Arabidopsis thaliana: one gene and its partner. The protein of the gene in region 1 interacts with the protein of each later gene in a pairwise test. Each region holds a gene or a part of one and is shown on either strand. Other genes may lie near its edges. The genes, in order: RHD6 and AT3G55240.

Evidence for each region.
Region 2: the proteins of RHD6 (region 1) and AT3G55240 interact in a two-hybrid assay, tested with the Arabidopsis thaliana proteins (one large-scale study listed by BioGRID).

Annotation. Positions count from the first base shown.
Region 1 is NC_003070.9:24,793,075-24,797,016, reverse strand, and holds RHD6 (ROOT HAIR DEFECTIVE6), read right to left. Parts: upstream 1,804-3,942; 5' UTR 1,692-1,803; coding exon 1,164-1,691; intron 1,063-1,163; coding exon 958-1,062; intron 873-957; coding exon 807-872; intron 727-806; coding exon 661-726; intron 551-660; coding exon 419-550; 3' UTR 2-418; downstream 1-1. UniProt on the Arabidopsis thaliana protein: Transcription factor that is specifically required for the development of root hairs. Acts with RSL1 to positively regulate root hair development. Acts downstream of genes that regulate epidermal pattern formation, such as GL2.
Region 2 is NC_003074.8:20,473,532-20,477,473, reverse strand, and holds the start of AT3G55240 (Plant protein 1589 of unknown function), read left to right. Parts: upstream 1-2,141; 5' UTR 2,142-2,768; coding exon 2,769-2,804; intron 2,805-2,927; coding exon 2,928-3,033; intron 3,034-3,452; coding exon 3,453-3,598; 3' UTR 3,599-3,942.

The DNA of each region.
Region 1 (3,942 bases):
CAAGGAAAAAACAAAAGTGAAGAATTTTATTACTCATTTCTTGGAGTTTAAATAAAAGATCTGTATTCCGTAGACTAAAACACACAAAATACAATTAAAACAGAAAAAGAAATTGAAAAACATATTTATGTTTTTAACACTTATTTACTAGTTAAAGATTCCATCCCCGTGTGGACCCATATCAGACTGATCATCGGTGAATTCAATGTCTCTTGTCTTCTCTTCGTTATAGATGCATTAAGAACTTCTCGATTTTCACATAATCTAACGTTACATAATCTCGATTGTCTTCTCTTTGGATCATATTTCAAAATTTACGTGGGATTTATAATCGAGAGAATCATTGTTTCCCCCGATATTATTACAACGTACGTAATTAATGTTTGATAAACTGATTTATTAATGATAAAACCCTTCATTAATTGGTGATCAGATTCGAATTCCTGTCTCGTTGTGATGAGGAGAGAATGGCATCAATGGCGTCTTTAACTTGAGAAATGTCAGGAGCTTTTCCTCCTTGAGCCGGCCAAAACTCATCGGTCGCTAATACCTAACAAACAATAGATTATATCAATACGTGTTACGTAATAATTCGATAAATATGGTAATTAAATCAATCCTGAAAATTAATTTGAGGGATGTTTGTCATAACTAATATACCTTAACTTGTACTTGAAGGAACTTGACATAACTAATAGCCTTTTCAAGCATTGTCACCAAATCAACCTGTGAAACATAACAAATATTATTATCATGAGAATAAGTAATATAATAAATCTGTCATAAATGGTTATATGGATGTGTACCTTGGTGCCATTGGGAACAAGTTCTTGCAATATCTTGAGACGTTCACTTATCCTTTCTCTTCGATTCTGAACAAAATAAAACATATGTAAATATGTGTTGAGAGATTGAGTTTTATTTTAATGAATGTAAATTAATGTCAAGAAAGCAAACCTTGGCTGCTAGGCTTTGTGGATCTTTAGGTGAAGTTGTTGGCTTAGGCTTGGTCTTTCCGGTCACACCGCTACTCAGTTTCTTCGACGGTTGAGTGCTCTCTCCCTATATATCCATAATTCAAATTGATAGTAGTATATATCAACGATCTTTCATTGACATCTTATATGAAAAATATTCACCAAGACTTTGTTGTTTGTAATTACCGTGTGAGAACGTTTGTTTCCAGCGGATTTAGGCGAAAGAGACTCGTTTCTAGAACCAGTGGTTACAACAGTTGAATCAGAATATAACCAGTCTTTCTGGCCTTGGGGAGTTTCGGTGGATCTAGGGCTAATAATATCCATATGATGTTGATGATTCCAGTTTGTGAAGCCGTAGCTCATGTTGTTGCCCTCCAAGAAGGAGAAGCCGCCCCCACCGCTACTACCACCACAGCTTATGGCTGGAGGAGGAAAGCTCTCGTGATGATCAAAGTTAAGAAATGATGATCCGTTGAAATCCATCAAAGAGTTGTGATGATCTTCACCGGATGGGTAAAATACAAACCCCTGATGTTGTTGATGATCTGAATTCATCGTGCTACTGCTCGAAGCCGAGCCTCCTCCTCCTCCTCCACCGGCATAAGCTGCATCTGGCTGATCCAGTCCCGGCGAGGAGAGATCTTCGGAAGAGGAGGAATTTTGTTTTGACAAGTAATTGGTCTCGTTGGGATGGTCATTAACGAGTGCCATTAGACACTAATAAGTTTGATAAGTGATTTTTTGTTTAGGGTTTTTGTGTGTCTTGTTGACGAAAAGTGGCTTTAAGGTTGTCTATTGGTAAGCAAAGAGAGACAATGTGTTTGTGTAGTTATGTTATGATAAAGGTTTATATAAGTGGTTTATGTCTAATATTTTATTTAAGCTAGTGACGTATTCTTAAGATTTTTTTTTAATTTATTGAGTTTGATTAAACTGATTAGAAAAAGAAGCTGGCATTAGATCAAATTCAATATTTTACGTCATTTTTTAAACTCTTATCAGTTTGAAGCTTCGAAGTTATGAATGCATAGAATTCTAGCTAGACATATGTTATTTTTTGTACATTTCCTTAACTGGGAATATTGGACTAGCATGCCTAAAACGTATGGTTACTAAAAATGCTTGTATTTGTTTTGTTTTTTTGTAGTCATTGTCTCCTTGTAATGTTGTTAGTAACAACTTGTTACTCTGCCTATGGACACTCATATTTCTTAGTTCTTTCAAGATAATGACATCCATTTTACTCCGATGTTCATCGACAGACACTACACAACATTTTTTTTTTTTTTTTTAATGTGATACTTGAAGATAATGACAATCACTTTTCTACTAGATGAATAGTTCTAATAAACACAACCTTACATGTTTTCTGATACTTTTTAGATCCTCTTTAAAAAGATAGCTAAAATTTTGGTATTCTAACTTTTAAATTTTACATATTTATGATACTTCCACATATTCTTTCATTTCGTACTAACTGCACTGGTTCCATTATTTGCTTCTATCCCACTATTTTCTCACAGTTAAATTTGTTCCATTTTTTTTTTTTTTGGACAAAAAATTTGTTCCATTGTTATTATTTGAAACCTTACTCTATACAATAGTTCTTAACCAAAAAAAAGTTGTATGTTTAATATATCGTAAAATCTACTACATTTTTATTTAACCAATAAAACATATTCACATTATTATTTTATTTTTAATTTTCAATTAACTGAATGGATAAATATAAATATGAAAAATGTAAATTAAGTATTAATTAATTATAAATTTCGATATTTATTGAAAATTGTAGTAAGAATACTGAGTTTTCATTAGTTCTTTTTCACTTTTAATTTGTTAAACTCAAATGAACCCAAATTAAGGTATTTTTTTTTTTAAAAAAAGAATATTGTAAAAGATTGTCTATAGACAGAATTATCTTTTATGGTATTTAATCAATTGAATCGAGTCGGTACCATATATGTTATATAAAAAATACTCCAAACATAGACCACTAATACTGGTGAGGAAAAATTATATAAGTTATTTGTATTGTATATAATTTTAGCAACTAATGTGGCACTGTAAAACCACATGATCAACAATGTAAATAATAAGAACTCATTTTAAAAAATGGCATAGAAAAAATCTTGACGTCGGGGAAAAATATGGATCGCATATCAAATACATCATTATCTTTTTGGAGTGATAAAAAAAATGAATGAACGTAAATTAAAGTGTTGTATTACAATATTTATGAGTAATTGTTGTATTACAATATTTATGAGTAATTCATCGGGATTGTTAGCTGGCAGTAAGGTGAAATTAATGGACTGAGACTTTATAACCCCAAAAATAGTTTATTAATTAAGAGAAGCGAAAAACATAGAAGCAAAATCATCGCCGTATCTTCCGCTAATCTACACGTCTTTTTGATTCCCATATATATGATCGATTCTAATATATATCAATTCTTTCGATGATTCATTTTCATTGTTTATTTTGTTTCGATGATTCATTTTTCCTAAGAACCTGCTTCTTACTTTCATTTCTTTAGCCGACACGTCGACTTATAAGTAATATACTCCATAATATAGTTGTTTTAGGCTAACTTGTTTTATTTATTTTATCTTCGTTAATATCTTTGTATATAATCTTTTTTTTTTGTTGAAGTTTTGGACATTCGGCCCATTCTTTGGGTTTAGAGACCAAAACATGCTAAAACCTTTTTTTTTTTGGTAGAAATAAAATTCAAACTAGTTCGATACTAATTTATGTTTTGTACAATCCGTCTTTATTGAAATAACGTTCTTTTTTATTCCTTTTTTAAATCATTTTGAGGATTTTTTTCGACAAAAAAAAGTTAGGATTTTTTTTGCTTTCAAATAAAACATTCACACCTTATCAAACCAGTTAACATTTACTCATTTTTGATGGGCCGAGCGAGTAAAGTGGGAGCAAAGCCCACGCCCAACATTAT
Region 2 (3,942 bases), on another chromosome or scaffold:
TTTGCTAAATTATGAATATAGTTGCAAGAGAATAACCATAAATTACACCAGTATCTAATAGCTGATTTAGAAAAAAGAAAGAAAATAACTATATGAAGTCATGTAAGACTCAGCTTCCACGACCACAAGATACCAAGCATAATAACCATGGAAAGTAGTTATGATGTGCCTTAATTTATTTGGTAGAAAAGTTAAAAACTGAAAGTTCATATTTAACTGAATGCGCTTTAGAAGTAAAATCCGGTATACTATACGTATATGATTATCTCTAAGCCAAAAGAATATAAGTATGAACACAGAGAAAATAGAACAATGAACAGACAGAAGAAAATAGAGTAAACTCCGTAGTAATTTTTATGTAATATATACGTTACTCGTTACAATACATACACTATTTTCTTGTAACACATAAACCGTTTTCAAATTCCTTATAAATGAAATATACGCTCATTATAACTACATAATCACTCATACGGATTCGAATGAACTTTGATAGCATGATCTTAAGAGCTGGATAAGGAAGTATCTTAGGTAAAAGAAATAAGTGGATGAGAGAGAATAGGCGTCTTGGTTTGTAATCTTGTTGACGAGGAGAGGGAATGAGAGAGAAAGTGATCATGAATAGGGTTTGAATTTGATTCGAGGGAATAGTTGCTGTTTCAGGACTCAAATTGAGAGGTCCACATGATGAGGAATATGTGTAGTTTTATTTAATGTCTGAATTTGATGGATCCTTCTGAAACCTTTGATTTCGACAAAACACCCACAATGTGTTTGTCTCTCACTTCTTTACGTAACCTTTGTAGATTCTCTCACTCTCTCTCATGTCCATTTGCGCCACGTCACTCAGATGGTTGTACCATTTGCGATTATTTGATCTCAATGTGGATTGTTATACGTGACATGTCATCGTCCTATTGGTTTAGAATCAAAAACTTTAATCTCCCGCGTCCCCTTACCCAACCAAAAAACTATTGATGATCACTTTGCCTTTTTTTTGGCCGTCCATTATTGTAACGTATACTACACTTGTCATGGTGGTACGACTATACCCAAATTAATACTTTGAGGAGTCAATTACGTAGATGATTAAATTATGAATATTATCTGGAAGAGATCGACGACATTTGGTTGGTGTAATCAACTTTTTCGGGGGTTTGTGTCATTCATAAATAACAAAAATTTCAGAAGAAAAAGAACTAAGTTAATCATTAGACAGAAATTTCAATAGCGTAACTTCAAAAAACTAATTATAAAAAAACAAAATCAACTGTGTAACTTACGTCAGATGTAATGTTTATTAGATGTAATAGGTTCCACTAATCCATATCAATATTATCATTTATGAGATGGAGTGGGATTTTGTCTTTTATGCTACATTAACAAGTACATGATAATTTCTGGGTTTCTTTTACCGGTCTTAATATTAATAAACATGTTGGTATGCATGGTTAAGAGTTAGGACTTAATTAGGAGGAGGCTCATACATATATGACAGAACTGAAAAATTCAGTAGCAAACATTTATCTATAACATGTCGTGTAAATTACGTTGGTTCTTTTTACGACAGAGGTTTACTAATGTATATGGATTATCTCATACTCATAATATGTAGTTACAATATATATATATATATATATATATATATATATATATTATAACTTTTTTGAATCTAGATTATATTCAAAGAAAAAAGAAACATTTATACATGTGAATGCAAAATGCAAACTTTTTAAAAAACAAATTACAAAGATTTTCTATCCTTAATGTTGCTCGATGCAAACCACGTTTGGATCTCATCCGCATATTTCTTCACTTCTCCTTTTCTTAAAGTGCTCAAGTGATTTCAAATGTTCTTATCAATCAACTTACCAGTTATATATTTTATATGCATGGTATTCCCTATTTAAACAAGTTCAACATTCCTTTAACAAAAAGAAAAAGAAAAAGGAAAACAAGTTCATGCCTCTCTTGCCTCACCTTAAGAGTAGACGTACCGATGTTCAGGGGCGACCTAGGCCTCTAATACGTCTTCTTATGATATTTCAATTGTCAAATCGATGGTCACACAACGGTAGTCATCGTAGATATACATTTGATATGTTTGTTACAACAGTTATCTTTTCTTTATTAATGGTAAGCCTTAACATAAGTGTTAAGACTTATGATTATATGCCTTGTATATTTCGCACTATGGTTTTATATTGTTTCAAAAGGAATTCGGTGAGTTACAATTGTTGAAGTCATTATTTTATTTGCCATTTTTTAAAGTATCAATCCTTTAAAATTCCGAATTTATCGTTTACTCTCCTTTTATGTAATCATGTGCTCTTAGAGCCAATACAACTAACTTTCATTTTCTTATATAAGTTAAAACATTAACAAATAGGTATAGATTTAATTTCTAGAAGATTATGGAAATTAAAACACGACTAAGTGTTTTTTTGCAGAAAATGTATAGAGAGAGAGGGGCCATGGATCACGTGGAGGATGCGTGAGATGGAAATGAAAAAACGAAGGGAGAAGAGAGAAAGAGTGATTTTACAAATCTCCTCTAATCCTTTCTCAGCCAATTATGATCAATCTCCCACGTGGGGCTTCTGGCCCCATGCATGCATATCATCTTTCAACTATTCACTCTTTTGTCTCCTTCTTCATCTTTTTGCGTGATCTTCTTCTATATATGGCTGTCTTTATCTCCACAAGTGGCTTTTAGAAAGAAGACTCTCTTTTAAGTTTGGGTGTTAATTCTAGGGTTTCCATTAACAATGGCAGATTCTTCTTCTGCTTCTTACATTCACATGGTAATATTATATTGATTCAAGAACCTCATGTACTTCTCCGGCCGTCGATTCTATGAATGATCTTATCTATTTATCTTTTACGTATGTACCTCAATATCTTTGGATGTGTGTATGTATGTATAGGTGCAGCACATGATAGAGAAATGTTTGATCTTCCATATGAGCAAAGAAGAGTGTGTGGAAGCTCTCTCTAAGCATGCAAACATCACTCCTGTCATCACCTCTACTGGTTTTAATTCCTCTCTCTCTCTCTCCTCTTTTTTAATACTTTTTACCTTTCCGTAATCCTTATAAACACACAAACATATCTGTACCTATGTACTCTCTAACGGGATTAATTATATGTATAAATTATGGAGCTATCATCATATTATGATACCATCATTTAGAATTTGATCATGTAATATGTACTTAATTAGCTACAGATAGGATCTAGCGTGATGGATCGATCTTCAATATTTCTATTCATATAAGTGCTCATGCATAATCAAATTAATGATTATATACACTGACTTGACTACCTGGCGACTAGAACTTATACATATACAAAAAAAGCCAAAGAAAATATAAAAATCCTTGCAACATATATATCCGGCCTATATATTTTGTTATCATAATATTAATGAATTGGAACAAAATAAATGACAGTGTGGAAGGAGCTGGAGAAAGAGAACAAGGAATTCTTCAAGGCGTATGAGGAGAGGCAAAGCAAACAAGAGCAAATGTCGGAGGAAGAGACAAACCAGATGATCCAGAAGATTATCTCGGATTCATCTAAAGAATCCGACGACTGATCGCGATGTTCGATCGTTAGATTTCGAAAACCTTATAGTTTATATATATGAATCTCATGAAAACGATTTATCCCTGACGCATGCATGTTTATAAGTAAATCGTTTTTTCATCTTAGCATCGGTCCAACAAGCAAGACAGCAAAAAAAGGAGTGATGACACTCTTTTTGGTACGTTATACGTACGTGGTCCACATAATATTGCCTCTGTTTAATTATATATAATGAAACGGACGCTAGCTCATACATGGATCGATGGTGTGGTGTTTTAATTGAATGTATCGTGTGTATATATTTTCAAATAAACTATTTATTTCGGGTTTTGGTCACCTTAAAAGGCTTTAGCA